Lepisosteus oculatus: one gene and its partner. The protein of the gene in region 1 purifies or fractionates together with the protein of each later gene. This does not show direct contact. Links are inferred from orthologs where the notes say so. Each region holds a gene or a part of one and is shown on either strand. Other genes may lie near its edges.

Region 1 (15,382 bases):
GGTTTTCCGTGGTTCACCTGCACAACGTGGCACAGGGAATTTCAGGAGGAACGTGGAGACAGAAAGGCTGGAAGAACAAACAAGCCCGTAGAAAACTGACACACCGTGCAACCCAGAGACCTTGCAGAGGACCACACATTCAAAACAGAAGTAGGACATAAAATGTATCAGAAAAAAGCCCAAAGATTTTCTGAGACTCATTTTCACAGAGGAGAGTGGTCTACTGGAACCCACCCTCTTGTCTTGTGGTTTGAGTCGACTGTGGGACCCTTTAAGAAACAATTAGATGGAATTCATAGGTTGACAACCTCACAAAGCAAGATAGACAGAACGGCCTCCTGTCATTCAGAAACTGTTCTTACAGCACATCCCCTGTGAAGATGGGAGGTGTCTGCTGCGTGGGATGTGTTGGGCTAAGTGGAAGATACTTTCTTTGCTCCCGACCTTACCGATGATAATCCTTTCGGTGCCCCCTGCCATGAACATCGAGGCAGGGAAAGGATGCTTTGGGGGTTTCCTGGGAGCAGGCTCGGGCGGGGGGCCTTCAGAGGGCACGGAGAACGGGACAGTCAGGTAGCTGGGATCCTGGGGTGTCCCTCCTGGGCCGGCCAGCGTCACAGGAGGTGGGACCTCAGTGGCCAGGGCTGGGGGAGGCTTCAGGTGTGGTGAGGAGTGGATGTGGGTTTCCTTCGCGATCTTGGGCTGGTGGAGGATGGCCCACTCATAACGCTCCATCTCAGGGCACAGCTGTGGAGAGGAAATGCCAGATCAGCCGATTGTCACCTCTCGAGGCCCATGCATGGTCAAGAGCCATGCTTGTAAAGAGGCATGAGGAGGGGTGAATATCTGGAAAGTCTTTCTAAAACTGGTTGTAGATAATGCACATAATGTACAATAGCTACTGTTCTGTTATTCTGTTATTCCCTGAAATGCTGCACAAAAACACCCCTGCTTGCTCAGTTATTCCTGGTGAAGGCTGCAGCACCCTGCAGCCCTTCCCAGATGCATAAGGTGCAATGTAGGACTTCAATCCATAGCAGGTCGCACACACACATTCGGACGATTCAGAAACACCAGTTAACCCAGTTAGCACGTCTTTGGAAGCTGGAAGGAAACTGGAGTACCTGGGTCCATGAGAACACTGAGCGAACACGCAAACAACACAGAAAGGGTCCCCATCCAGAATCCAAGCCGCGCTATCATGCCACCCATCTGGAAGATAGTTTTGCTTTATTTAAATTTTTTAGAGTTGTCCTTCACTCACGGTAAAAACGAAGCACTCCCCAGTGCCAAAGAAGCTCAGGCCCTTCCCACCACCTTTGTTTCTTTCGCTCCAGTCGGACGAGAGGAATGCACCGCAGACCTGCGGAGTGAAGAGAGGAGTCCTGACATCACTCAGAGCTCAGAATTTCACTGAGCTTTTTAGTCACAGCACCAGTTGTTGGAAATGCCTGTTTTGACATCATACCTTCATTATTAAACAAAGCATTTTTGTGACTTTCAGTTCTTAAAAAAACAGTTATCTACTCACTTCCTCGTCTTCAGTTTTGAGCAGAAGAACAGTCGGTTCACTGCCTTCAACTTGCGAATAGAACCTGAGGAAAAAACAACAATTTATTTTTAACAAGGATGAAAATGATCACTTTTGTCTCTTCCGTTTAATAAAGCACTGAGTACACACAATGCATGGCAACCTACACAAATTAATTATTAATCCTCATTAATAATCTGTCTGGCCAACGTATGGGTTGTGGGCTTTTATTATCATTCTAATATACGCTTACTATTATGATACTGTAATTACAGTATAAATATGCCAAAGTTCAATGTGAGTAGGAGCAAAGATGAACAATTTTCCAACAAGTTTCATGCAGGCACCCATCTAAGGATGAGTGTCTTTGTTTTAAATTCCAGTTAAAGGCAGTATTACTCAGCACGTTTTTTGGTACTGCCAGCCAGCCACTCTTTTCCATGGAGAGAAAATTCTGCGATATTAAACCACAATGGACTAACGAGAGCAACAAAATTTCAGATCTTATCTGGACATATGCCTTCAACCTGCAAAATTGCCGTCGCGTCAGTGCATTTCGTTTTCAGGTTGCATACCCTTAACCTTAGATAGGTTTGGCAGGTGTTATTCCCTGATGGACTACAGTCACAAGGGGAATTTTGTACCTTAAGTGTGCTAAATGTTCCAGAAACCAGGACTAAACCACTGGCTCCTGAAGGACTTAATCTAAGCTTAATTGCCAGTCTCGCTACAGGCAGTCTAGCTCGTTACAGGAGTTGCCAGCTGAAGTGCCTACCTCATTACCTACCTGTGTATCTTGTCAAGTGAAGCCCTCCTCAATGATCATGCGTATGTCGGCTTTGGGCTGAGAACAGTGAGCTAGTTCTCGCGGAATGCTGCCCTTAGAAAGGTTAAAGGTGTTCGAGGGTCAGAGGGTCAGGCCCTGGTCAGAACCATTCACTGTAGCAGTCAGAGGCACGGCCACATCCTGCTCAGACCACCCAGCTGTGTGGCAAGTGGTTTTGTGCTTGTTTGAGTGAGTGTCTGTACCATGAGGACAGAGACGTCAGCTCATGAAAGAGCTATTAACTTAAGACTTCCCTTCCCTTTCACTTTTTGACGAGAACTCCTTTTGATCAGGGTTATTTAAAAAAAAAGGCATATTAAAGTTCAAAAGTACAATTAGCGGCACATTGTTTTTCCATTTCTCTCTGTCTGCTTTTCTGACATTTAAAGGCAATAGTTTTCATTTTAAAACATGTGCAATTAAATAACAGATTAGTAAAAAGCCCCTCAATGTGTCAGACAAATTTATGGACCAAGACTGCTCATAAAATATGACCAATGTAGAGAATCACACATTCTCATGTCACAGTCATGTGATTTATTCTTGGACTGTCCTGCCCTGGTGATTCATGGCATAGATGTTAGAAAGTTCCTCCATCTTCCCAGGCTTGAGAAAACGCCCCCTTTATGGGCAACAATGCCTGTTTTGTAAATGTCATTTAATTGAGAGCAATGAAGAAGAAATCACTCAAATATCTGTCTTGTACTCTTCCAATTACAGTACCCAGATATCCGAACAATAAAAACAACATTTGCTAACTAAAATATTCAGATTTTCACATTTGTCTTCCTTTCCATATTTTTATTTGGATCCCCAAAGGTTTACGCTCCTTTCTGGGGCTGGCTTTTAAACTTCAGAGATAGTAAGCTGAAAAGCTCATTTCGTACTGGACCGTCTACATCTCATTTCTTCCTTTTTAAGCAGTTTGAAATTATTTCTATACATACAGAATAACATTTATTATTAGCCTGAAAGAAACTGTTTGTTCTTTCATATGAGCATACTTGAGCAAAATGTAGGCAAAGCTTTGGCAGCTCATGAAGTAAAGGTTTGCTCTCTCAAGACGTTTTTAACCTAAACATATTGCTCACAGCTTTTTGTTGGCAAAAGGTAGTTCTTTATAGTGTACTAAAGGACAGTCATGCAGATTTGAGACGAGCGTAACAGCAGCTGTCTTTTGCAAAGCTTATAATCTGCATCTTCATACATTCTCAGCTATTATTTTCCAAATGGTCATGCTTTAAGCAGAAGGATTTATGAGTTAAAGAGTCATTAATATCACAATGGGCCCTTTTCCTATTAAAATTCAAAACATATTTCAAATAGTACAATAACTGTAGTATAACCTTAAAGGCATGGACCACCCATAGAGGAAGCATTGTTTTCAGAAATGGAACTTGCTTCATGTGCATTAAACAATGACAACATTGGCCTATGATTCATGGCTCAGTTTGCTATCCCCAAGCCAGAATACATCAATGTACTTTTATTATTATTTTGTCAAAACTGCTCTGTTCCATGAAATGCTTTATTGCTTTTGCAATGTTTTCGCGAAGGAGTTTAACTTCGATTGAGGGGAAACATTTCCCACAGGGTGCACTCCCTTTTTAAATTAAAAAAGAAAATGAAAATCAGAGAATCTAATCTATTCCTTTAAAATTAGTGATAAAGATACTGGACTGATCTGTATCTATGCATATTTATTTACTGGAGACAGATTGATTTGAAAGATTCCCATACTTTTTAATAAGCCACCATTTTTTAAAGGGTTGTGTTTGAGATTGGAGTTCGTTTATCTGTGAACGCTGTCATCCAGGAAGAGCTGGGACTACTCACGACGTCAGGCTGCGCCCATGCTCACTGGTGGTGAACAGCATGATGGGTTGGAACAGGGCAAAGCGCTCTGGAATCCAGGACCAAACCATCCTCATCTCCTGTCCAGTGACAATACTGGAGCTGAAGTTATCCAGATCCACTGCTAGATGTACGGACATCCTGTGGGGAGAGAGTACCAGCATGTTGGTAAGAGGACTGAATCCAGATCTGAAACAATTTGGAATATGATATTGCACGATCACAGAGCAGAAAAAAAGTGTAACGTGCAGCTCTGCATATTTTGGAATTTAATCTTGGTTCTTCAGAACATCCCAGCCAGCTAAACCAGAGCTCCACTCCCCGGTACCAGGTGAATTACAATCATTTACAGAAAACAGAATTAAAAAAAAACAAAGTCCCAAATTCTCCAGAAAGGAAACTTTACAGAAAAACTCAAGTCTGTTTTTACCCTGTACAGGGTATAGCAGCAAAAGAAAACATACTGAATAATACTATTTGCAAGTCATAAGATGGTCACAACATTTGCTAAAAAGAAATGTACCATTAACATTTCAGGAAAGCGTTCGTATTTTCACCGGACTTGAGACTTAAACTAATTGAACTAATTGAGAAACCCTCAAAACATCTTGAACAAAAATCTTTGTGTTTTCTTGTTCTCACCTCTTCTGATGAATGCTAATGCCCTTCTGCAGGAGGGCGCTCATGTTAGCAGACAAGAGCAGGTTGATTTCTTTGCGTGAAAAGAGGCGGATGCTGAAGGCCTTCTCCAGCAGCTTGTCCACCGTGATATGGCAAGAGATGTTCCCTACAAAGCTCATGATGTCTTGTCTGATATCGGCAATGTGGGAGGGCGTGGAGGGCACAGAACCTTTGTAGAGACTGAGCAGAACCAGAGCAACCCGGTAGAGTACTTTGTAGCCTTCCAGCAGGAACACATCCAAGACCCGGATGGCGTACTCAAATGGAAGCCCGGCACCAAAGATCCACATTATCCAATCTGAGTAGATGTCAAACAGACTCTGGTTGGAGGTGGCGATGAGCTTGTGGGCACCATGGCAGTATTTGTTGGCGAGGTCTCGGAAAGTCATGCAGGAGGCTCTGTGGGCGAGGAACGTCTGGTCTATGTAGCGCTTGTCCGGGTCATTGTAAGCAATGAGTCTGCACACACTGTGGAAGCACTCCGCTTCGTCCTCACTGAAATGCAGAAGCAGAGACACCAGGGCCGGCAGGACTGGGCAGTGTGTGATATCGGGGAAATGTGCCGCGATACAAAGGAGAATCTTCCTGACCGAGTTGACCCCAGTCTTGCTGAGACAGTACATGGGGATTGCGCCATTCTCCATGTATTCTGGGAAAGGGTGAGTGCTTGTTTTCTTCTTCCCAAACAGTTTCTCAGAGAGCTGCTGGTAGATCTCCCTGTCTGGGGTGACAGACCTACAGCTGATGCCATGGATGATGTGGTGGTAGGCCTTGGCTCTCAGAGTGTGGCTTGTGGACCAAAAACCTGCTCTGGCCATGCTCTTCAGTTGCTTGCAGTCACTCTGTAAGATCTTCTGGTAGTTTAGGGCAGATTTAGGCTCCATTTTTTCCCAGTCTACGAATTGCCAGTATTTCATTGTGGAGGATGAACTAACTTCCCAGTTGTCTGATTCCGAAATGGTCAGAATTGGAATGTTTAGCACATTCTTTCCACTTCCTAGGAGAAAACATATGATACAGACACTAAGGGCTGAACACTTTAAGAAACCTTGTTTCTTATTCTGCCTCAGTTCTTAATGTACTATTAATAAAGCTGATGAAATTAAACGATTACCAGTTTAGTTACTCAGGTATAACAAGATATTTGCATTGGTATCTTAATTAGATAAGCTCTTCCTAAAACTCTGAACTAAACATGAATAAGTTCACCAGGTTTCCAAAGACACAAAGCTTCTTTACTTCAGCCATAGATCTAAAATAATATATAATAAAAATAATGTAATAAAACATGATATAATCATATAATAATATTATATACAAATTATATATATAATTTAATATATATAATATAATAACAATAATAATACATTATTTTAGTAAACTTGTTTACTCTTGGACAGCTGAAATATTATATTTTCAATTTCTTTACTTTATTCTTAGATTAGATCCTGGTAATGAATGAAATGAGGAGAAGCACATGTAGTGCGCCACTGTTTTATCAGGCATACCATCTAGGTCTTTCGATGGCGGCTTTTTGCCGCTGGAGTTTGTCCTGGGTCTCCGGAACTGCAGCCAGGACAGCATCCCATCGCCGCTCAGGAGAGACTTAGATCGCGGCCTCATGGCGTTGGACCTGGTCAGGGGTCCATCGCTGGTGCTCTTGGACGTCTCGAAACTGTAAAAGGACCTCGACCGGGGTCTCCTCGCCCCCGGCTCCGTCGGCTCATCTTCCGGAGGGAGCCCCGCGGGGCGGCTCTCCCTGTCCTGGCAGGAGTGTGACCTTGACCTTGCGGAGCTCGACGGGGCTGGGAGCTCCTCGTCTGTTTTTGAAATATTTATCTGCGGGACTGGCCTCTCCATGTCCGTCAAGCTCTACGGTGGAACTGTCAGGACTGCGGGCGGGCTGGGAGCTTCAGCTGTTCCTCTTGACTGTCCTCTGTTGGTGCAACAGTGTTCTCCGGGGCCTCCGTGTTGACAGGTTTTGCTCAAGGTCGGGACCGCGGCTGTGATGTCATCCGGTGGGCTGGGCGGGGAAGGCCGGGTCAGCCTTGGCGTTTCCATGTTCCTCCAGCCGTGCGATGGAAAATTCCCCGAGCCAGAGCCTCCTCTTCTTCCACCACAACCCTGCCTGCAGACCCTGGGCTTCACACGCTGCTGTCAGCCTGGCCTGTCCTGTAGCATGACCTGTGACAGCAAAGACACCTGATCCAAAACAAAGCACAGAATGGTATTGCTTATCTCAGCAAGAACATGATGTGTGTTTACTGATCTTACCCATGGATACACTATACACATGGCTTCTCACAAATTAGCAGTTATATACCCTCATTATCATATTCTGGCTTATTTTGAATGTGATAAGGCACGTGGTATACTGTAAACATGGTACTGAATAAACTATGTCAATATACATATCCAAAACGAAAGTCAATTTTAAATTGTTTTTCTGCTTTACATGAGTAAACGTGAAGTTCAGACACCAGTCCTGTGAAATACATATGATGTTTCAATAATTTTAGGAATTTGCTTTAATAAAATTGTGCAGCAGAACCTTTTTCTGCAATGCGCTAAGGAGGTAAAGGGACCAACAAACAGTTTTCCAAGAACCTGAATGTTCTAGTTTTTTTTTCATGCAGTACATCTTTGCTTATGTTTAAACACGATCCGTTTGTTGTGAAACACTTCTCGTCTTTTACATGGGGGTGTTGTATACGGGCTGTGCGGAAAAATATTAGACTGCTGTCGAAATTGCTGAAATGAAAAGTTAACATGTCTATACTGAAAGATCTGCTTGTGAGAAGCAAAAGACACTACTGATTACATGTTTAAGGACAATTAAACTAGAGCCTTTTGAACAGAATACAAGGAGAACATTTTAAAATCCTTCAGTTACCAAGCAATCAAAGAACTGTATTGCTTTCAGCAAATTCAAGTCATCAGGAAAAGGCTTTTTGCTGCTTGTGTACTTTTACAATTATGGGACATACATGACACCAGTGGATGTATTATGCTAATCAATATCTTTCATCTCCATGGGTCTATGGTAAAAGTCACAGGCTAATATCATGTTTGGGCATTGCCATATCTCTGTCTTAGGCTCTGCGTTCCTCTCAGAGCCTGAATTGCAGGTGCTATTCACTGGTCTCTGAGCCCTCAAGGCCACCTCACTCCAGCTCCAGCCAGACATGTTCAGTGGTGATCAAGCCTGGCGAGTAAGTTATCCATAGTAACACTGCTATGTCCCATCTCACAGGAGAGTGATTACCTCAAGAATCTGTTACATAGATTGTCATGTATAGGTACACAATGGGATTTGTCCTGTTTTTGAAGTGATGAAAAATGACTTGGAAAAAATGCCCCTGAACTATATAAGTTATCTGTCTGCTCAGACAGCTTGCACACTATGTCTTAGTTTGTCCAATCGCAGTTGGACTCTTCAAGACTTTGGGCTATTTTCCTCAAAACCAGCAACACCAAGATTGTAAGAGAAAGAGGCCGGTATCTGTGTGAACTTAAGAGTTCTCTCAAAATATGTTGATGCAACGATACAATAACGTTTGATTACGCGTCATCAAACCCGAAGTTTGATGTGAGAAAGGTGAGAAAATGTTTAATCTCTTTCTCCCTGCACGCTAAAGGGCAGGTTCACGAGTTTAGACAGTATGTCCCTCGTCGTGAGCTGTATATAATCACATGACACAAGTACCTAAACAGGAAGTGGGATTGTTAGCCTTTCGCAAAATAGTTAAGTCAAATTTACTGAATTAAGTAATTCTTGGAGAGTCTTTTGATCAAACGATGTCACAGGATCCTTGGTAAGCTTGTTACAAAATAAATATATGTGTTACATTCTATTTCATCGTGATTTTTTGGCACTACGGGCTACAAATAGGATTATAGGACGAATGTTTATCACAGTTGTTGTTGTTCGTTATATTGCACATTGAAGACTGGTTTGGTGACGATTTTGCACGTTGCTGCATCATGTAATTTAATTTGGTGGTCTTTGTAATTCCCGATTCAAGCGCTACGGAAGTTTTAAAAACGCTGCTCTGGCACGGAACGGGTTAATTTTAGTAGCTTCCCAATTAATTTATAGACTCAGAATATTCCCCTCAAGTGCCTTTAAGCTTTCCCACCTGTTTTAATAAAACACTGTTCTTTATTTCAGTACCGTTCCGACCAGTTCTACATATAACATCCCAGAAGTAACTTGCTGATATTGTTCTCTGTGTCGTGTTTATTTAAGGATGTTTGTAGTGTTTGTGTCATAGCATTTAGCCGTACTGTGGGTGATGTTAAGAGGAGTTCGGAACAGATCTTGAGCATCATTAATAAACCGTGTGCAGCTGTCTCTGTCTTTAAAAAGATTTAGCTATAGCTTGCCTCTGTCGTATTTCTGTGACGTGAGAATAGTGCATTTTCTATGGGTCTTTATTAATATTCACATGGCAGTGGTCAAGTCATGAATTAGAATTCATATTAGTACGAATTCGTGATACAACGGCTTTCCTAAACTGTAACGTGGACAAAGAAATACAGTATTATGAATTGTTATTCTAAAATTAATACTAGCAATTTTAATAGCTTGCTTGAAAATCTTGGCAATTTGTTTTTGTTGCTAACATTAGGTAGTTTTTTTCCCCTAATGTATAAGCAAGCGAGAAACAAAGGCCAGGCCCCATTTCTGATCACTGGTTATGGTTAAATAACTCACTTTCTGAATTTCCATTGCACAGCAGCACAGTGGGCAGGCTGTTCTGCAGTAAATCTAGACTGGGCCGGTGGGCTTTCCTCTCTTTAAACTACTGTTAAACAACCTGCATATAAGGTGCAGCTGCAGGCCAGACGAGAAACAAAGTAACCCAAGCACTTGTGGGTTCATTTCCAACACGGATCCAGTTGTCGTTCCAACACATCCACGTGCAGATTCTTTCTTTTCAAGGCTACAGGTTTATGATGCCACTTGCCGGCTGGCCCAGGAGATTGCTGAAAACATTCACGAGCGGAACCGGCAGCACCGGACCGGGGGAAACCCTGCCAAGGCAAGGCGTTCTCCCTTGTGCTCACCCCAGTTTTTTTTCCACGTGCCTGCATGTGTCGTGATTGTGCTCGCGTTTCGTTTTCTTCACAAATGCAATGAACAGTAGGTGGCGGCAGTACTGTCAGCCTGGCGTCTGATCTTGTAAGATCTTGGCAGCTCGGCAGAGCTGGACCAATTCGGTACTGGGATGCGAGACCACAGAGGAAAGCCAGACTGCTGCTACAGGTGACGTCAGTGGACTAGTTGGTCACGCTTTTCCCTCTGGATCAGAACTTCCAGTTGTCTCTGTTTGGATATTTGTCAGCGGTCCATCTGGGACCGGAAGACCGGTGTCCCGGTGTAGCGGCTGGGGACAGGGTCCTGTAGGAATTCCGTCCTCTGTGTGAGACGTCGGGCCGAGGTCTTGATCGCTCGGTCATTAATGATTCCGTGGCACTTTTTGAGAGGTGAGGTGCAGTAGCCCCAGGGTTCTGGCTGCAGTAATTCCCCTCTGGGCTTGCACAGTCTGCCCCCCCTGAAGTTCCCTCTCACTCACCCCTAATACTTCTCTGCCTGATCTGCTGTACAGTGGGGCTGCTGGTGCAGAATGAGGGCTGTATTCAAGGATGGATGATGTGGGTTCCTTTACATTATACCTTGTACATGATATATGATATCATAATTAATCATCACTAGACTACCTGCTTTAGACAACACTAGTGTTAAAGTAATCCCCGATAACAGGCCAATCTTAGGAAGTGATTGGGAAGGAAAATGATTTTAAGCATGTTCTTATCAGTAATTGAATTATTCCTTGTTCTTCTCTAAAGATTTAAAATGTGTTTGTGTTCTGGACGCGGGAGTGACAGGAATGTGGGCTCCTCTTGTTTCTCCAGCTCAACATGACTATCAGAGCGTCTCTGCAGAGGCTAAAGCAACAGATCGCCCATCTGCGAGAGAGGCTGCTCACGTCCACCTCCACCCGTCGCATGTATCCTTTCCCTTCCCTCGCCCCCTGGAGGGTTCTGTGTTCTGCTCCCTCGTTTGTGTTTTTCCCCCTCCAGCCCAGAAGAGGTCAGTGTTTTTCAAGGAATGGGGGGAAAGGTTTGATTTTCTGTCTCTGTGCTGGAGACCCCCTTTTCAGGTTCAGACCAGTCGGTTCTGTGTGCATCACCTATTCCTCTCCGTGGGTGGAGAGAGGTGTGTCCTGCACAGGTGGGGCAGCAGAGACAAGACAGGTGCACACATCTGTAATTGATTTTCAGAGAGATGTAGTTGAGATAAATTGATAGCTTGTTAGCCGGCATCAAAACCTCACTCATCACTAATGTTGAATGTATTTTATTTTATAATGCACCTTGCATGGTACATCAACAAGGAGGGCTCTGCTTCTGTTCATTGTGTCTCTTAAGCCTCGTTGAATCATTAAGTCAGACCTTAATAATGTGAACCTCCAGAATGCAGTCAGAAGGAGACAGAAGACAGAACCTCTTGGATGATCTTCTTACTCGGGAAGAACAGCTAGACGCCTCTTTTAAGAAGGATGGCACAGAGCCCGACTCCTCAAGGTACTTTGAAAAATTTAAGATTGTGACTTCACCGTGTCACGGAAAAGTGACGTTGTGTGACTGACTTCAAACATGATTGTTTTTTTTTACCATTGTTAGTAAAATGCAAGAAAACATGAACGTAAACAGTCAAGAAGGTGAATTGTAATTGCAGTTGCAAATTCTTATGTTTGTGATGCTGAAGTTAAACAAAAAAACATAAAAAGTTGTGAAATAATTAATGCAAAGAACACAAACTTTAAATTGTGTTACCAGCTAGCTTTAAATCACTACATCTAAGGTGTAATTTGAAAAATTAATGTCTTATTAGGGACATACAACCACAAGGTCATAAAACACACTAAGGCCACTCTTTTTGTGAAAAACCCTTTGTTTTTTTCACAATTTGTACTGAATTGTACTTTGCTGTATTTTCCTTGCGGAAAGAGTTATGAAAATCTAATATTGTATTCACAGTGTATGCGTAAATGCTTTAAGAGCTGGAAAGGTGATATTCTGGTTTACTGGTATTTGTGGTCGAAGGCAGAGGAACAGTATCAGTTGTCTTCAGTAATATGGTTAAAAAAAAAACACTATGAAACTGAGTACTTGGAGAAAAAGACAAACTCATCCAGTCTGATATGGCCTGACCTTTTCTCCTGATATGAAGCAGTGTTAAGAGAAATTTCATTCATTAAAAATCCTGCTCCAGTGATCACATGCTTGGCACATCCTGGACAAGAACCTCGGGGCTATTTAATGAAAAAAACTTAGTTTATAGTTTACACTGTTCACTGAGCGCACATCCTTTATGAAGTGGATAAAATATAGTAAAGAGCTCTATGCTGTCAGCTGTATCCTGAGTGCACATTATTCTTCGTCTAAGTGACAGCTTTGTACAGTAGCTAGAACCAGGCCATCATTATATTATATTTTGTCTGACGTGCTGACCTGGGTCACATGGCTTTAGAAACAAAGGGAAGTGGGGTTGGATAACAGTGATTTGGACTTCCTCTCGTGTTTGTTTGAATGAAAGCCTAACCTCTGAATTTCACAGGATCAGGCTCCTTGAATGACTTAACTAGGGCAGTAAGTTTTTTTTGGTCTGCACTGCTTGAACTTGTATGTGGAAGCAACTGGTCAGATGCTATTGAATGACCTATAAGTGGTACAAAAACATTTTGATGACAAAGACTGTTGAACAGCAGGTGGCCGTGTGTATTAAAACAAACCACTTCAAACTAATATTGGATACCTTACATTTTTCTTAGTATTTTTAATTTCTCTTACAGTGCTAAAGGCAACGTAAATTCTTAACCTAAGCAGATCCAAAACATATTCAGCCTTTTCCGGCTGAAGTTAATGCTAATTTATTAATTAGGTGGCACTGTGCATGTGGCTTAACGATTTTAATTCTGTCTGGTAGAACATTATTTTAAATGGGGTGAAATTATACTCCTCAGTGTGTGGTCTTTGTCTAGGGGTGTTAGGCCTGCTTGAATAATCTAAAGTGTCCCCCCCCACCCACTGTTTTCAAGGGAAGGTTCTGAAAGATCCACCAGTGAAACACTACATTCTTGGGAGATTAGCCTTTAACTAAGCAAAGAGAGACATGGCGCCTAAATTTCAAGGCCTGTAACCAGCGCCGCCCAGCCCCCACCACCCCCAGCTTTCTCTTTTATATTTGATCATAATGCAAAAACTAGTAATTAGTTACATCTGCCCCTTTAAATCAGAAACTATCTGTTCGCGTCACCGTTGTGTGACGGTGCGCAGATGCGCCTGATTAACTTGGCGGACTCAGTGGGTGGCTAATTGGATAAAGTTTAATCTTCACACCACTAACATGGCAAGATCAGAGGAAGGAGGAAGTAAGGAGCTGTCCCGCGGTAAGATAGTTACCAAATATGTCAGAAAGATTAGCGCTGGCTGGAGGCCTCTCACCATGTCTTTCTGTTGATTAATAGAGGCCTGTTGCTGGAGAGAGACAGTGCTGCAAATTGCCTCAAATTGCCTGGACTATTGCTTAGTCTGCAAGAGGAAAAAAAGTGAATTCATTAGAGGTTACAGACCCCGATTAGTACGACTCTACAATAGTGTTGCTTAAAACAAAATGAGGAAGCCTTTAATTTGAATCAGTCTGTCAAATCAGCTCTTAATCGGCATATGATTGTGGAACATCTTTTTAATGAGTCGGAGTAATGTTTGAAGTGTGTTATTGTTTTGCATTTCAGATCTTCCTGGGAAACTTAAATGCCTAAAGCACCTTTCCCACACCCTCTACAGCAAATGAGAATCAATGGTTATCAGTTTTGATTGCAGGTTTAGGTTGTTTAATGGGCTGATTAAGGTATAATATGTAAAGTAGAACATTTATGGCAAATTGTTTTTAGAAAGCAAAGTTTCCTGAATTCAAAATACAATAACCGTAAAGAATTCAAGAATTCCAAAACAAACAACTAATAATCATTTCAATTCCCCCCAAATAAATATTTTTCATATTTAACTATGGAAAATTTTACGTTTTGAGCAGATTATGTTGTAGAACAATAGAAGCAGAACTAGTAACAGAAGCATCAGAATTCCTGAAGAACAGCAGCAAAATGAGTCGAAATTTCAACACTGTGTTGACGGTACATGGGTGATAGTCAAGTGTTCACAACTTTGTACTAATTTAAGTTGTGATTGTCGTGATATTTGTTGGTGTTTGTTACACCTGCTTAGAACATGTGCATGGAATGTTAATGTAATGTTGAGGAAATACTGACCAAGGCTTATATATCCAATATAATGGTGTGACTTTGTGCATGGATGGTCTTTCTTCATCTGTCATGAGCAGTAGATGTGCATATGCTTATTCTTCAGTTTGTTGCCTTTTTCTGTCGATTGCTATCGATCAGCTGAACAGCCCAGTGTGATGAGTTACATGGGTCTTAATCTTAAATGTACTGTGGCCCTATCCACAGTAAATCCACAGTAAACTTAAGATCACACAGTAGAATACACGGAATATTCTACTGTAGCTTCTGCCTCTGTGCTTGTTATGCCTCTCAGACTTGAGATGTAATTGCTGGAATGCATGCATTTTTTATTTTTAATGTGGTTGATGTTGGAGGATTGGGGGATGAAGAATACTTTTTACATGAAAGAATGTGCCCTGGGCCCACCCGTGCCAATAAGAAAGTGCTTTTTTGAGGAAGAAGAAATGCCTTGGGTTAAAAGTTTGATCAAAAACAGATCCTTAAAATGACTCTTAATGCTAATGTTGGTACTGTGGATGATGGCATAGTTTAGCCTCTCTGATACGGGGCAGCCTAAGCACTGCTTTGTTGCCTTCCCTGGGCTGATGGAACATCAGTTCTTGTTTCTGAGAGTAAAGAAGGAAATGCACTGGCCCTGAAAACAGCCCCTTGTTGAAAGACAAGGGTTTTCATGATCACTGTCCATCCTTAACAATTAAGTGAACAATAAAAGCCCTTTGAAAAGTCAGTACAATATACTAACCCCCTTGTGCCTACAATACTTGGAAAAATATTCCTGTTTCTCTTTGACCAGTAGGTGGAGCACACATACAGTCTTAGTTCTTCCTGAATGATTTCAGATAGATACTTAGGTCCTTCGGCAAGACAGCTTTAAGGTTTGGATGCAGCTTTTCTTGATTAGCATAAGAATAGCAGAAAACCACATTACATTCTTAATATAACACAACAGGCCTTTCTTTAGTCTGCATTTCTGTCAGTTTTAAGTTCTTCCGAAACCACGAGGCCTGATGCTAATTTAACAGCACTGTTTACAAAATCCTTTAGATTTTTTTTTAATTCAGGCAAAAATGCAGAAGTTCGGAAATGTTTCCTTCGAAAGGAAAATTTTCTCTTAAAAAGACTAAATTATAATTAATACTACATCTGAAAAAAATAAAA
Region 2 (15,320 bases), about 13 Mb from region 1:
GGTCTGTAATATGTTCAGACTCTCAGACATGAGTTTACAGTGACGAAACACAGAGGTACCTTGTTTGTGCTGTGCAGTTGGAACATGGTACCTGTATTACTCTGACCTGTATTGCTCTGTGCTTAGGGGCGCATTGTCGAGCCCAGGGGACCCAGGGACTTTGGGTGGGACCCATGTTTCCAGCCAGATGGGTATGATAAGACGTGAGTGTCATTGTTTTCTCAATCTTTTCCAGTTGTTTGTGAAATGCATGCATTTGATAATCTAATAGAACACTAGATCACAGTGTTTCCCAAGGCCATTATGGACTGGTGATCACTCGATAAGCAAACTGTAACCAACTCTTTATTACGTGAGAACATGACTTCTCATGCTGTGGAAATCAGAACCTTTACAGTACCTCGGAATTGTGATTCCTCTAGTGCTTCTCTAATTATCTTACTCTTCTCCTCTCCTTCCCTCACACCATTCCAAATCTCTTCTCTCCCCTTCTACCTTTTGCAATCCCTTACCCCCTCTGCCTTCCTCTCCCAGCTATGCGGAGTTGCCAAAGGAAGTGAAGAACTCCATCTCTCACCGATACCGTGCTCTGGCTGCCATGTCTGAACACTTCTCTCAACTTGGGAGCACAGAGAACAGCTAGGACATGGCCATGCAGGCCCCCACATCACCAGGACATGGGGCGACGAGATGCACCGAGGCTTAAGAGCTTCTGGCTATAGCCAATCACAAGCTCTTGCCACCACCATCCAAGACGATGCCTGTCTTATCAACAATGTATTGTGTGAATCTGAAGATAAGGTGTCACAGCATGGACGTGTCACGTTCAGCACCCTGATGCTAACATTTTCTGAAAAAAGTATGTTTGCCATTTCTCAGTCAAAATGAGTTATTTTCTCTTAAAGTGCTATGCATATCACTGACATGGCGACAGAGCACCTTATCAGAGTCATGGTGGTAATTATGTAGGCAGTTGAGAGAAAATGTCTTTTATTGGAGTTCATGAATAGCCATAAAAGCTGGCACATTACCAGCTACCCTGTCCTGGTTCCCTCACTTGGAACATGGGGAAATGGCCACCTGTCTGTAGGCTAAGTGATTTCTAGTACTGTTTAGCAGCTGGGCCAACACACAGTCCACTTCCCCTCTCCCTCAGTGTCTGGACCTGTAATAAACAGCCTGATTTTACACAGTCTCAGAGGTTGCTTGTTTGCACCAGACACACAATGATGCACTACCCACAAAAAGAAAGGTCAAGAACAATCTAAACGAACTCCCACTTGCACAGACTAGTGTCACACAAATGCACCCTTGTGTTATTGCCCAGTGAAAGAGACATATCTAAAGTTAAATGTAACTTAATGAATTGTTCACAATGCAACCGGAGCATGGTGGAAGGACAGCACTGAAAGTTAATTTCTTTATCACTCCCCTCTTCCACCTTCCTCTTTCTGGTGCCATCTCTCAATGCTACACATGGATCAGCTGTGTGAGAGTGTGGGAGCCGCGCAGCGCTGATTCACTCCGCCAGCGCACAGCCCTGGGATTTATCATCCCTCTGAGCTGAGTAGCATTTCACACACTGCTAGTCGCCTGTCTCCAGCCTGCCATCTTAAATACAGCATGATCACCCTACTGGGGGGAGTCTGGAGACTAGAAGCTAGTACAGATCATGAAGTGTTTTCTTGTTACGAATGGGCTAGACCGCATTCGTGTTCAATATTGTTCAACAGATGTGATGATTGGGTGAGCTATACCTTTCATTAGAGACATGAGCACAAAGGCAGACTGCTCACAGTCACATCATGTGTCATAGTGAGCAGATCTCGAGGTGTTTAACAAAGCCGTGCTCCTGGGGGGCAGAGTAGAAGGACATTAAACTGCTATAGGCTTTATCGATCACTAGTTAGCAATTATTGTGTTAAATATAACAAAGTTGATTCAATGGTGCTTTGCTGGCATGCTTATTTCGCATTCACTACCAAAGCACATACACAAGTTGTACCAGAAAAACATCTGAAAAGTATATCAAACTATTGACACATTAGAGAAATCTTTAAAAGTCAGACAGACAACTGCATAAAGACAGCGGTCCTTCAACTTGCCAGTGTCTCCCCTGCCCCATGGCAGCCCCTCAGTAGAGGGCGCCACTCTATGATGGATAGATCCTCCCTGTACTGGACTGTACTGTTCCTATTAATCCTGTCTCTTTCTCTCCCTGCTCCAGGCTTTGGAGAGGAGCACAGGGGCTCCAGCCTGCTTGAATGTTTTCATTCAAGTGAAAACAACCCGGAGTATGACTCTTGAGTTATGCTAGGCATTTATAAGGATCTGCAAAGTGTGGCATTAAAGCCACATCAAACCGCCCCCCACCAACCCCGGGAGAAGTGAAAGTTTACAGGGAGGGTGGGCAGGCAGGGCCGTGGGGCGCAGTAAAACCTCCCCGATCGTTAAAACCCCAGGATAACGAGGGGAAAGCTTATAAACCGAGCTTCAGACAGTCGGCGCAGTCTATCTTCATACCAGACTGCCTGTATTATTTTTTATTATTAAAAACAACTGCATTCTTCACTGCATTTTTTAATATTGCATAAGTGTTTCAATCCGGTCGTTTTATTAGTTTTGTGAAATCATGCTGGCCATTGGGATGTGGAAATGGAGTTTCATGGTCTCAGTATTGAAAAAGGAACAGGGTGTCTCGGTGTCAGTATTACAGAAAGGAATGTCTCAGTGCCAGTTTTAAACACAAAAACAGTCTTTCTGTGCAACCAGAAGCCGAGATGTCCAGACTCTTGAGGAAGTGCTCTACGTTTGTGGGCAGAGCGCTCATACTGCTTACATTAAGAGTGTGTTGAGGTTAGCTGTTAGCATATCTTCTGATCCCCCACATGTTCTGCATGAACAATAGCCACTGGCCTTCAACCCAATATTTTAGAGTCCCTCAATGTAGATGTAACAGAATGAGGAATTCCTTTATCCCACACTCAGTCCAACTGTGCAATCAATGAGTTCACAATTAAGGAGTGATGGTTTATGGGCAAGAGCAATGAGTGGTTATGTGTGTGCAGTTATAAGGGCTCAGGGCAATTGTGGGGGAGTAAACTTACAGGTTCTGGTGATTAATGCGGATTCCTGTGGGAGAGGACTATGTAATGGATGATGTCTTTTATGTAATATTTGTACTGCTCGTATGTTTTTTGTAAGTCTCTCTGTGTGTATAAAACATAGTTGCATGGATGCAAAACAAATGTATAAGAAATCATAAAATATATAATCATATCTTAAAGGAAGAATTAAAGAATGGGTTATCTCAGTGACAGTATTAAAAATTGAGGTCTCTCTTCATCAGTATTACAGAATGGGGTGTCTCATTGTCAGTGTTAAAGAACAGAGTATCTCAGTGTCAATATAAAAGAATGGTGTGCCTAGATATCAGAATTAAAGAACAGGTGTGTCAGTGTTAAAGATCGGTGTCAGTAGTAAAGATCAGGGTGTCTCTTTATCAGTATTAAAGATCGGAGTGTGCCATTGTCAATATTGCACCATTGGAACCTCTGTGTATTAAAAAACGCACCTGAAGTATCTCTAGGTCAGTGTTAAGAACTAAGGAAAATGTGCTTTAATCACTGGAAACCAGCATAAACGTTTCTAGGCAGGTTTCCTAAGCTCAGCCCAATTCCACACACTGCTTCCTCAGGGTGTGCAGAGCTCACAGGGGGAACTAGGTTCGACTTCACTCACTCCACTGTCACTGCATAGCTGGCATTACATGTGCTGAATCCTTTTAAACAGGCCAGCAGTAATTTAGAGCAGGTTTTTGATTAGCCCCAAAGGCTGTTTAATGCAGCTTGTCTACATAAACACCTGACCTGCAAGTTGTCTGTGTGTGCAGGGGGCAGGCTGTGGTCTGTGTGTGTTTCGTTGTGCTGTACAGGAGGTGAGTAGGTTCTGGTGTTTCTTCCTGTGAGTCAGTTAGATGAGTACCTTCTGGAAGCATTTTATTTAAACATGTTTGGCTCGGGCATCCACCACATTCATCCTGATGGTTCTCAGGAGACACTTGCATCCAAACTGAGCCAAAACAATTGGAGACGTCGGTATTTGGGATGGATGGCACAGTGGGTAGCATTGCTGCCTCACAGTGCTGGAGCCCTGGGTTCAGTTCCTGACCTGGGGTGCTGTCTGTGTGGAGTTTGTATGGTCTTCCTGTGTTTTTTGTAGGTTTCCTCTCACAGTCCAAAGACCTGCTGGTAAGGTAATTGGCATCTGGTCTTGGTGTGAATGTGTATGTGTGTCTGCCCTGCACTGGGAGTATCTCTCCAGGGTGCGTCCTGTTTTGCGCCCGTTGCTTGCTGGCTCCCCAGCATCCCTGCATCGGAAATATTTAGGAAATGGATGATAGATGGATGAAATTGGGGGTACAGGAAGGTGGGAGTGATGGGATGTACTCTGTCTCCCTCTCAGAAGCACCATACTCAAGATGCAAACCCCCAGGAACATTGGGGTGAAAAAGGTGTAGTACCCCCCAGAAGACAAGCTGGTGCCCTGTGGTAGACTGTACTGTACACTGTACTGCCCTCTTCTAGAGAAAATGGGTTAGTGCATTTCTTCTGTTCACTGTGTGAAGTTCACAGTGCTGCAGATCACTTACAGTACATACGGATCGTGGCACATTCAACATAAAGAAACAGAGACCCTTCTCTGCACTGAGTCTGCAACTAGGGTAGCTCCCTAATTACTGCCAAGTCTCCCCAGGCCTGTGATCCTTTAGCACAGTCCTGGAGTCCTGCAGGTTTGACAGGTACTTTTAAATTGCGACTGATTCAGACTCAGTACATTAGTTCAATTCAGTAATTAAGTAATTAAGCCTGCAGGGACTGGAGCTGCCCATCTCTCTCTTGAAAAATTGCTTCAAGTGATATTTGGCTGATTGATCAATTATTAGCCAGAAGTGCCAAGGCAGGCTTGAACCTCCTGTCTATAACCTTTCCTCTCTATTCTTATGTCAAAACAGACTGGTCAAGATTAATTTCCAGCCTCGGGATTCTGGCAAATTTTTGCTTCCTGACTTGATGTTATCTGCAGAAATAATATAAATAAAAAAGCTGGCTGTAGGTCTATTAATGCTCTCTTTTAGAGAAGGTCAGTGAGATTAACAAAGATGGAGTTACCTTTGGGTCACTTTGGATAATCAGTCACGCGGACAGAGATGCTTGGTGATACAACAAAGGGTCTTATGAGGAGGGATTTTAGTATATATATAATCTGAAAACGGAACTAAATGTGTGGCAAAAGATTCATTTAAATTATTTATTAGAAATGATAAAGGTCCACTTATTTATAAACCAGAATTGATATATTCTTTGTTAGAACAAACTTCACTGCACACACATGCTAAAAGTAATGTTTCCATGCTCTTCCAACTTCCTACGGGAGTCCGCTGTCTGAAAAATTGTATCTTTACTTTATAACTTACACTGAAGACGTACAGGGGCTGTGATTAATTGATGGCATTGTCACAAAACGGTACTCTGAATTTGTTAGTATAAAATGTATTGGTTAAAAAACAAGTTAATTTTTTATTTTCAGTGCACAACTTCAGGATGGAAGTGTTGTCTATTTCCTATTCAGCTCTTGTCAATTCCAGAAGCTGCAATGAATTATGGGAAGGCCATAGGTCATGTTGCAGGTTGCCTGCTGGGAACTCTACTGTGCAGGAACAAAACTTCGCATTTGCATTTTTGTGTTCATGTAAATCCAGCTTAACACAAAAACTGAATGAGCCCTTAATAAGTACATAAAATTATCTGCACCCCACCACATTCATCAAGAATCCTCAAAAAAGGGGGAGAAGGAGTGGAGATTGGAGGAGTTGTGATAAATAAACTTCTATCCCAAAGAAATGCCCCCAGGGCCTGGAAAAAGGGAGACCATCTGGGACATATCAGTCACAGTATTCCTGGACTCGCACGGTTTGTTATTAAAAACAGGTGACTGCTCTTCTGTGTTTGGAAAGAAGCGAGGAGAGCTGCCTATTCCAGGCCTCCCTCCTACCTCCCAGCTCGGAAAGGATCAGGAAGTCTGCTCCACTCATCAGAGCGCGGCTCTGGAGTTTATTTCCGACGTCTCGCAGGGAGACGTTCCAGCGCTGAGGTCTGGAAGACGCCTGTCAGAGCTAGCGGAGGAGGGGGTAGTTTATACACACTCTGAACACTAGCGCAGTTGTAGCTTGTTTAGTTTTGTTTGGAACATCAAACAGTAACTCCCACCCTTCTTCTAACGGCTTCAGCCTCTTCAGGGTTGTGTTGGAGCCAGAGCCTGGCCTGGCAAGGTGCACACACACTTTAGGACCAATTTTCCCAGAAGCCAATTAACCTTCCAGTATGGCTTTGGACTGCGGGAGGAAACCCACACAAACACAGGGAGAACATAAACTCCATGCAGGCTGCACCCCAGGCCTGGAATCAAACCCAGGGCCCCTGGGTTTGTGAAGCAGCAATGCTACTATCAAGCCATCCAAAACAATAACAATGCAACCAAATTTGTCCAGAGAGCCCCAACATCTCTTTGTCTAATGGAATGGATGAGTATTTTTTCCTTAAGCTTTAGAGAGAGGAGATCCAAAGCTGTATCTGTCATCTGTGAATGCTCATCTGGCTGGTGGATCCCCTCAGGAGGGCTCTGGACCCTGTCCTTGTGAGGATGAAAGGGTAACTAAAGGCTCTTAGCTTTGGGAGAGATGATGACAACCAAGTCCTTCATCCCAGCTGTGCTAAATCATCATTCCCAACCTCTCTTCTCAAAGCTTTATTTCTAGATCTCTATCATACCCAAATCCCTCTTCCCCTTCTCCAGCTATTTCCACCTGTGCTGCTGCCCCTGCATGGAGGTGCCAGCCTCCTCATCCCACAGCCTGGGGGCCAGACCTCACCCGAGCGGGTAGAGCCAGATTTCAGCCCGTCCATCAGACATCTTCTGAAGAAGATGAACTTCAAAATATCCAAAACAAGGGACTATGGAAGGAACAATAACTGAGACGTGGCTGTGATGGACCCTCAAAAAAAGTAACTAAGAACAAGGTGAAGCCATGAGTTTAAAGACACTTTTCTAAACAGATGAGCACGGTGCCTGACACCCAGGGCAGCACTGTCCCTCCCTGCTCCAGGAGGAGCTGAAGCCTGTCCACGTCAGCACTGTCCTCCTGCTCCCAGTAGACATTTTGGGCCTTTTCCATCAGGGGACAGCAGGCAGTCGGCTGGGCTGAAACAGGATCTCTTCGAGATGCAATTTAACATCAAAATTCCTCTCACTGGTTGACATGAATCACCACTAAAACTAACAGATCTTTAAGTGGGAAACACCTTCCTGTCTTTCATCGTTTACGGTGTAGCATGCTTTAGTAAACCAAACCTCCCAACTTTAGGACCAAGTCATTTCAATTTGCCACCGTTATTGTGAGAGGAGCAAGATGAAAGGTGTGCTGAAACTGTCCACTTTCATATCCGAGAGCATTTTAAATTACACAATTAAATATTTTCGGCCTGGTTCCTTAATTTGTTTTCTTGTTGACATTACCACATCCCATTTCACTACTTCCTGTTGCATCATCAACTTCTTGTTGATTTCCGTTTTCATTCTTTCACTGCTTTGTTTTCTCTGCAAGTCTGCTGTGAGTCTCTTGGCCAGGTCTCAAATGTAAATGGACATTTGTTCTCAGCTGAGTTCTGACGGCTACAGGAAGGTTTATTTTTCCTCTGCTTCATTTGTACAGTGCCCATGAACAGATTAATCCATCAAATCCATATTAAGAGGGAATCCATACAGTACGTCTTGTACCTTAGGAAGAAAGAAAAGGGGGAAATTTTAGGGTATTAGAAATGCCTTTGGTGTTGAGCTCTCACGAATGGACTACATCTGCCACACAGATTGCAGGGAATAGGCAATACTGAGTCACAGCACAGGGGCCACAGAATGGTTAGTATTGTGAAGAGGGTCAATCGACACACACAATCACAAAGGCGCTCTGTTCATAAGAGAGCAGCAGTGACAGCTGTTGAACCCCTGAGGATCTGTACTGACACCCACCCACCACTCTCCCTTTTGACATGCCTTCCCACGCACGTCTGGACTGGACAGCTGTGGGGAGGTGACACCGGCCCCAGTCGACACCCTGTGGCTCTCGTCCCATCCCGTGCGACATCGGGCCATGCGGGAACATCACCATCGATTGCTGCGGTCTCCCTGTTTGATGTGGTGAGGCTGCACTGCTGGCCTGGAAGCGGTCTGCCGGATAATGAAATCAAGACTGTTTTGAGCAAAGCCCACACAGTGGCAGCGTGGGACAAACAATCTGGCCTTCATTTCATAAACCCACTGCAAGGAGCATTCCTTCGTATCATTATTGTTTTTATTTTTCCATGACCTCCCCATCCATACCACGTTCTAAATCCACAAACACAAGTCAGACAGGTTGTTAATATCGCATCTGAGGCCCGGCAGGAAGCTGGGAAGCTATCCACAGACCTTCACCCAACTTCCTTACGGACAAGAGAATTCCGCAGGGCGCCAGCTGTTGGACTCCATTCAGCCAAACCCCCTGGAGATGAAACTGCGGAGACGTGCAAGAAGTTCACGGCTGTGTTTTGCCACGGCTCAGAATTCGCTCCAGTATTTCTAACTCCAGTTATGTTTAATGGACTGCGTACTGGTACGCACCGTGTACATACAGACTCACAGATACGATTTCCATGTCTTGACCATCTCTCGTTACATCTGAACCTTTAAACCATGGTGGTGGTCAAGTTACTACAATTTCACGTGATTTACTGCTGATGGAACAATATGTACCCGGTCAATCGTTATAACACCAATAATGATCATATTCTAGCAAGAAGAAAAAAAAAAGCACACAATGAGAGGAGCAGAATTAAATTGCCTCCCTCAATGTAATTGAAGTATTTTGAATAAAGTATTTTGAATTGAAGAATTGCAATAAGGATTTGGAATACAGTGGAAAAGCATAGGGGCGGACGCCGAAAATAAAATCCATTCTAAAGAAGAATGTTTTGAGTCTTGAATTTAAGTCTCGAGTTTAATTAAAATGTCACATCGGCTCTTATACACGCACTGCGAGGATGATGTTACATGACAAATCAGATTTGGATGTGACTGCACTGGGACCGGATGGTGGGTCATTATGGGTGCAGTTGTGACTCGGCCCATACAACTGTTCGGCTCCATAAGAAAATGGGACTCTTTTTTATCATATTAATCAAAAAATTAAAAAAGGCTGTCGAAAACCACTTATTTACACTTCAAAGATTTCTCTCCTCTGCAGTGGGCCGTCATCACAGATCGTTACGGAAGAGTAAAGCTTTATAAAAGCCTTCACTCTTTAGTAGACTGTGCAGTTTGGGGCGTTTGGAAACAAATGCCAACGATGCTCAGGTCCACACAATCTGATCCCGCTACTTCCGCTTTCTCCTCCGTCAGTACCCATAGCAACAGGAAATCTTCCAGTACGTGACACCCCGTCAGCGAAGATCTTTAGTCTTTTTGCGTAACACTTTACGCTCCCCACAGCGCTGCGGACTGGCGTAGTTCCCCGTGCTTGGTTGGTGAATACAGAATCTGCGAAAGGCAGTTGTTTAGCTTCCCGGTCAGCTGTGAGTGAACAGGAAGAGTGTTTCCCAGTTGAATTACGGATACAGCAGCTGCAGGCCGGCAAGGCTGGAAGTCACAGTTATTCGGTCAGATCTTTTTCAGAGGCTGTTCAATGATGAAAGAAGAGTGACAGTTGTTTTCTGAATAATCGAGAGTTTAAACTCCGGGGACTGCGAGTGGACCAGGCCGATAGACACGTCAGACACAACGCAGGTATAAAGATCTTTGTCCCCTGGCCTGTCATCGCCGAGTTCAGTTCAGATTTTGAGTTCAAACTGAAACAGTGGCGACTGCTGGTTTGTGCCTCTCTGCATCTGGCGTCTGCCCTTGGTTCTTCCTCACAATTGAGGAACATTTATCATTGCATTCTGATGTAAAAGTCGAACAGATTGGTCATTTACTCGTCTTTAGTCCAACGTGTGTGCAGGTGTTAATTTCTGACACATCCATCGATCGCAGGCTGGTTTTCCTGAACAGAAGTGCCTCCTGTCCTCAGAACTAAAATTAGTTGCTCTTAATTTCCGTTGAGACTCCCTGGTTCTGGTCTCCGTGCGAAGTGTGACGTGGAAGATTTAATGTCTTCAAGATTTGACTCCTTCCTGTCCAATTTTTAGAATTTTAAACGTGCTACTATAATCTCCTGTAGGGTGTATTTCTCCAGCATGAGCAGGTTAAATTCTTTCACTCGGTCATCACACAACAGTGGTCTCAATTCGAAGTTCTTGTCGTTATAAAGCAGTCCGCACTCATTGACTAGGGATCAACTAATTAAAATGGTTAATTACTGCAGTTAAGTGATTGAGAGGTCAGTTTGAAGACTCGTGGGGTTTTGGCCTTTCAGTTGGGATGGGAAGGTTGATGTGCTATTATTCCTTTTTGAGCAGGATAGTGAAAGAAGTCAGTAAAGTCATTGGTGCACAACAGCTACTGCTGCCAGACATCTGTACCACACCAGTACTTCAGAAGACCAGTATAATCACTGACTCATGACCTGCCTTTGCAGAGTGAATATGAGCGTGTACGTCAGGATATGGATTTAGACTACCCAGATTTAGGTGCAGTAGAACTAATTTACCCATTATTCCCAAAGCTATTAACCTGCTTTGTTTGGACAACCGATATTGTACATTTTACTTTATTTTTTATCATGCTTAGATTTGATCATATTTTGTGTCTTGTGCAACTGTCTCATCAAGTTTCAGTTTTCTGTCTAAATGGAAAAGTTTATTTAAGATGCTAACTTGTTTTTCTCATCTTATGCAAGTATGTTTCTTATTTGTTAAGGGGATCATGTTGTGTTACATCTGCAACTGTATGTGTTGTGTTATGTGTTTTACTTCAAGTAGGTAGCCTGCGTAGGCTGCAGAGGAACAGGTAAAAGTTTAGGTTTAGGTTTAGGAGAAGCAAAAAGACACAGCGTTTTAGCTGTGGATCCTGAAGAAGAAGCCTATTTTCTTTTCAGCATGGACTGAAACTTTACCTGTTCCAATGTATTTTACTTGCCTGGAAAGCACATTTCCCATCTGGGACAGTTACGGAAGTGAGTAAGCCATGTCTTGCCAGCACTGCGCTGCTGATATCTTCAGGTGTCTGATATCTGGAGTTATGGTTGGAGCCCAGCAATCTTGGAAAGCGCTGATCTGCTTGGAACCACTGACGGAATTGGCCACCGCTGCTGCAATGACTCTTGATTGCTCCACAACGTAGACTAATCATCAGGAGAAAAAGTGAGGTGTTGTTACTTGGGTAGGGTCTATCAAGAGTGAGCTGCCATTGTGTCGTTGCTGTGGGAGTTTTCCCTTTGCCCTTGACTGGCACATCGCACCACCATGAGATTACTGCGCCATCATTAAATTGAGCATAATTGGACCCATTTCCACTTAATTATTTCAGTCTGGGGTGGCTAAAGCCTGTCACTGTGTCTTCTGGTTTTCATTACACCCTGATTTCCTAACTATGTAATGGGATCAATTCTTTGCTTGATCAGAATTCGTGCTTTTCCCAGTCCTTTTGTCCCGGTGGTGATGTAAAGGAACCTGTAACCCGGGCAGGGCAGGTACTCTCCAGGACCAGGGTAAGCTTGCTCTGATTTTTAAGGCCTCCATCACGCCTGTAATTCAGGAGGTGGAGACTCCTGTCGTGCGCAGGAAGGGTTGGGACAGTGTGGGCAGTCATGTGGCTACACTTGTGAAGACGCCTCTGGAGGTTGTGTCATTGCAGCCCTGTCTTTTCTGTGTAGATATCAGTAGTGTTGAGTAATCACTGTCAGCATGTCTGGGCATCGGTGCACCCAGTGAGAACGCCTGCAAACAACCAAAACCCTCTTTAAGACTGCTGTGTGTTTCATTTATGTGTTGAATTGGGGGAAATTATCCAGTTCTCCCCTTGGGTTAACTATGTTTTGGAGGGTTAATTAGTCAAGGTTCATGGTATTCTCTGCTATTGATTAAACGTCATCTCTAAAGTCTGTATGATTGGGACTTTATAGGAAGGGGTATTTACAGTATAAATATTTTATAGGCTTACTCTAACCCTTGGGCAAGGTGCATCTCTTGCAGTAAACCACCACCATCAATTATAATTATTTTAACACTGTAACAAACAGCAATTTATTTTCGCAGTAAGTGAACCTGAGATACCTGTCTACTAGTTATACTTGCTGCTGTGTTGAATATGAGTGTTTTATTTTCCTGATTTTACAAGCATGTAAACCACACGACCATGCATCACATTTGTCACCTGTGTAAGTTGTTTTGAATAAAATGTATTTCTTGATCCTTATCTCTCTTTTTTCCATCCATCACACTCTCTCTGTTTTCTGTCCTCTCCAGTTCATCCTGCAGCCCCAGTTGAGCTCTGTCCCATTTTCTGTATCCCTTCTCTCTGCATTCTCTCTCTCGTTGTGTTCCTTGTTTACTGGAAAACTCAGGGCTGCTTCTGGCCTCTCAGGGTTTCCTGGGAAAACAGTTTTCCAAAAAACCTGCCAGGAAAGCTGGAAACAAAATAGAATTCCAATTTTAATCATAAATCATTAGAATTTGACATATTTTTGGTTGTGACAACCCTATTGATAAATGGTACCTCTCCACTGTCAACACAGTGTGGGTTAGTGGTTAGACCTAAGGTTCTGGGAGAGAGGTGGTGAGTCAGTGTGAGCTTCAGGCTGAGCTGGAACTAAGAGGCTGCTGGAGGAGGCAGTGTGGGCTTGAGGCTGGAGCTAAGAGGCTGGTGGAGGAGGCAGTGTGGACTTGAGGCTGGAGCTAAGAGGCTGGTGGAGGAGGCAGTGTGGGCTTGAGGCTGGAGCTAAGAGGCTGGTGGAGGGAGGCAGTGTGGGCTTGAGGCTGGAGCTAAGAGGCTGGTGGAGGGAGGAAGTGTGGGCTTGAGGCTGGAGCTAAGAGGCTGGTGGAGGGAGACAGTGTGGGCTTGAGGCTGGAGCTAAGAGCCTGCTGGAGGGAGGCAGTGTGGACTTGAGGCTGGAGCTAAGAGGCTGGTGGAGGAGGCAGTGTGGGCTTGAGGCTGGAGCTAAGAGGCTGGTGGAGGGAGACAGTGTGGGCTTGAGGCTGGAGCTAAGAGGCTGGTGGAGGGAGGCAGTGTGGGCTTGAGGCTGGAGCTAAGAGGCTGGTGGAGGGAGGCAGTGTGGGCTTGAGGCTGGAGCTAAGAGGCTGGTGGAGGGAGGCAGTGTGGGCTTGAGGCTGGAGCTAAGAGGCTGGTGTAGGAGGCAGTGTGGACTTGAGGCTGGAACTAAGAGGCTGGTGGAGGAGGCAGTGTGGGCTTGAGGCTGGAGCTAAGAGGCTGGTGGAGGAGGCAGTGTGGGCTTGAGACTGGAGCTAAGAGGCCGGTGGAGGGAGACAGTGTGGACTTGAGGCTGGAGCTAAGAGGCTGGTGGAGGGAGGCAGTGTGGGCTTGAGGCTGGAGCTAAGAGGCTGGTGGAGGGAGGCAGTGTGGGCTTGAGGCTGGAGCTAAGAGGCTACTGGAGGGAGGCAGTGTGGGCTTGAGGCTGGAGCTAAGAGGCTGGTGGAGGGAGGCAGTGTGGGCTTGAGGCTGGAGCTAAGAGGCTACTGGAGGGAGGCAGTGTGGGCTTGAGGCTGGAGCTAAGAGGCTGGTGGAGGAGGCAGTGTGGGCTTGAGGCTGGAGCTAAGAGGCTGGTGGAGGGAGACAGTGTGGGCTTGAGGCTGGAGCTAAGAGACTGCTGGAGGAGGCAGTGTGGGCTTGAGGCTGGAGCTAAGAGGCTGCTGGAGGAGGCAGTGTGGACTTGAGGCTGGAGCTAAGAGGCTGGTGGAGGAGGCAGTGTGGGCTTGAGGCTGGAGCTAAGAGGCTGGTGGAGGGAGACAGTGTGGACTTGAGGCTGGAGCTAAGAGGCTGGTGGAGGGAGACAGTGTGGGCTTGAGGCTGGAGCTAAGAGGCTGGTGGAGGGAGGCAGTGTGGGCTTGAGACTGGAGCTAAGAGGCTGGTGGAGGGAGGCAGTGTGGGCTTGGGGATTGAACTGAGAAACTGTGGGAAAATATTAATAACATTAGAAAAAGGGTAAGAGTTGGCTCTGTGCTGTGAGTGTTGGCTGTGTCCAGGTCTAACTGGGGCTGCGCTGCCCGTGTCTGCCTGCAGGGGGAACTGGAGGGACAGGAGCTGCACGGAGACGCCATGCCGCCCAAGTTCAAACGCCACCTCAACGACGATGACGTCACGGGATCAGTGCGCAGCGAGAGGGTGAGAGAGGGCGACGGAGGGAAAGAGAGGCTCTGCACACACCTTACATATTATTTAGTGCTGAGGATCCCTGTCCTGGTCCTTGGGTTTCAAGGCCCTCACTCGCCTGCTGGTGAAAATGGGTTTAATTTGAGCTCTTTTGGTTCCTAAACTGTTTTTTCCGTAACAGTTGCCTTTCACGAGTTGCATTTCAAAATTGGCTTAAAATCACCAGTTTTTGTGAAAGGGAAAAAAAGTTTGAAAAGCAACTTATTTGCTCAGCTGTTAAACTTAACAGCTGAACTGCAATGAACCTAGGAGGTATGTGGGTCACCAGGACTATGAACCCCTAATTTAGTGCACCTTTTGTTCATAATATAGCTTAATCTAGACAGCAACAACCTGAGTCATTAATCCCACGCAGAACAGGCACCAGCCTTTTTAGATATAATCAAATTGATATTTTTATGGATATTAATGTGGAGTGCTGACAGCATGAAATACAGCATATTGTTTACATTGCATTTGAGAACTGTATTTAATTACAGCTAGTGGGTGAAATGTCCCAGCTGAAGTTACTGTCTGATCTCAAGACATCTGTCTTGTGAAGGTGTAGTCTTGGTGTATCAGTAACGTGACTTCATAAATTGTGATAAAATCTTTCACAGATGGTGTAACTTTCTAAGTTACATTTATTTTAATTTTCCACATGAATGCTCCACATGAGTTGTGTTATTTACGAACATGGGTTCACAAGGGAAGCCACGAGGTAAAAAAAACAGGCAAGATTTGGACAAATAAGGAGAAATGGCTAATATATTAAATAAATATTTCACTTGGGTGTTGATCAGTGAATAGATTGCAATAAGCAATGCCACAGTTCTGTGCTAGATCGTATTAGCATTGAAGGGGCAGTAGTGTTAACAGGTTTCAGGAACACTTGATATAAACCTCAAAGGCATGTTGGTATTCTG

The links.
Region 2: the proteins of stx8 (region 1) and vamp4 purify together in Homo sapiens (co-immunoprecipitation; 3 studies listed by BioGRID and IntAct, counting the BioPlex papers as one, with this or other methods). This does not show direct contact. The link is inferred for Lepisosteus oculatus from reciprocal best matches to the Homo sapiens genes STX8 and VAMP4.

What each region holds. Positions count from the first base shown.
Region 1 is NC_090704.1:44,152,976-44,168,357, reverse strand, and holds the start of stx8 (syntaxin-8), read left to right. Parts: upstream 1-8,573; 5' UTR 8,574-8,690; coding exon 8,691-8,707; intron 8,708-9,837; coding exon 9,838-9,937; intron 9,938-10,811; coding exon 10,812-10,906; intron 10,907-11,372; coding exon 11,373-11,483; intron 11,484-15,382. Other genes in the region: TBC1 domain family member 24-like, read right to left, coding at 450-747, 1,265-1,363, 1,532-1,595, 4,194-4,352, 4,854-5,889, 6,401-6,752. UniProt on the Homo sapiens protein: Vesicle trafficking protein that functions in the early secretory pathway, possibly by mediating retrograde transport from cis-Golgi membranes to the ER.
Region 2 is NC_090704.1:31,382,145-31,397,464, reverse strand, and holds the start of vamp4 (vesicle-associated membrane protein 4), read left to right. Parts: upstream 1-9,658; 5' UTR 9,659-9,876; intron 9,877-14,265; 5' UTR 14,266-14,301; coding exon 14,302-14,367; intron 14,368-15,320. Other genes in the region: itpa (inosine triphosphate pyrophosphatase), read left to right, coding at 127-203, 535-643. UniProt on the Homo sapiens protein: Involved in the pathway that functions to remove an inhibitor (probably synaptotagmin-4) of calcium-triggered exocytosis during the maturation of secretory granules.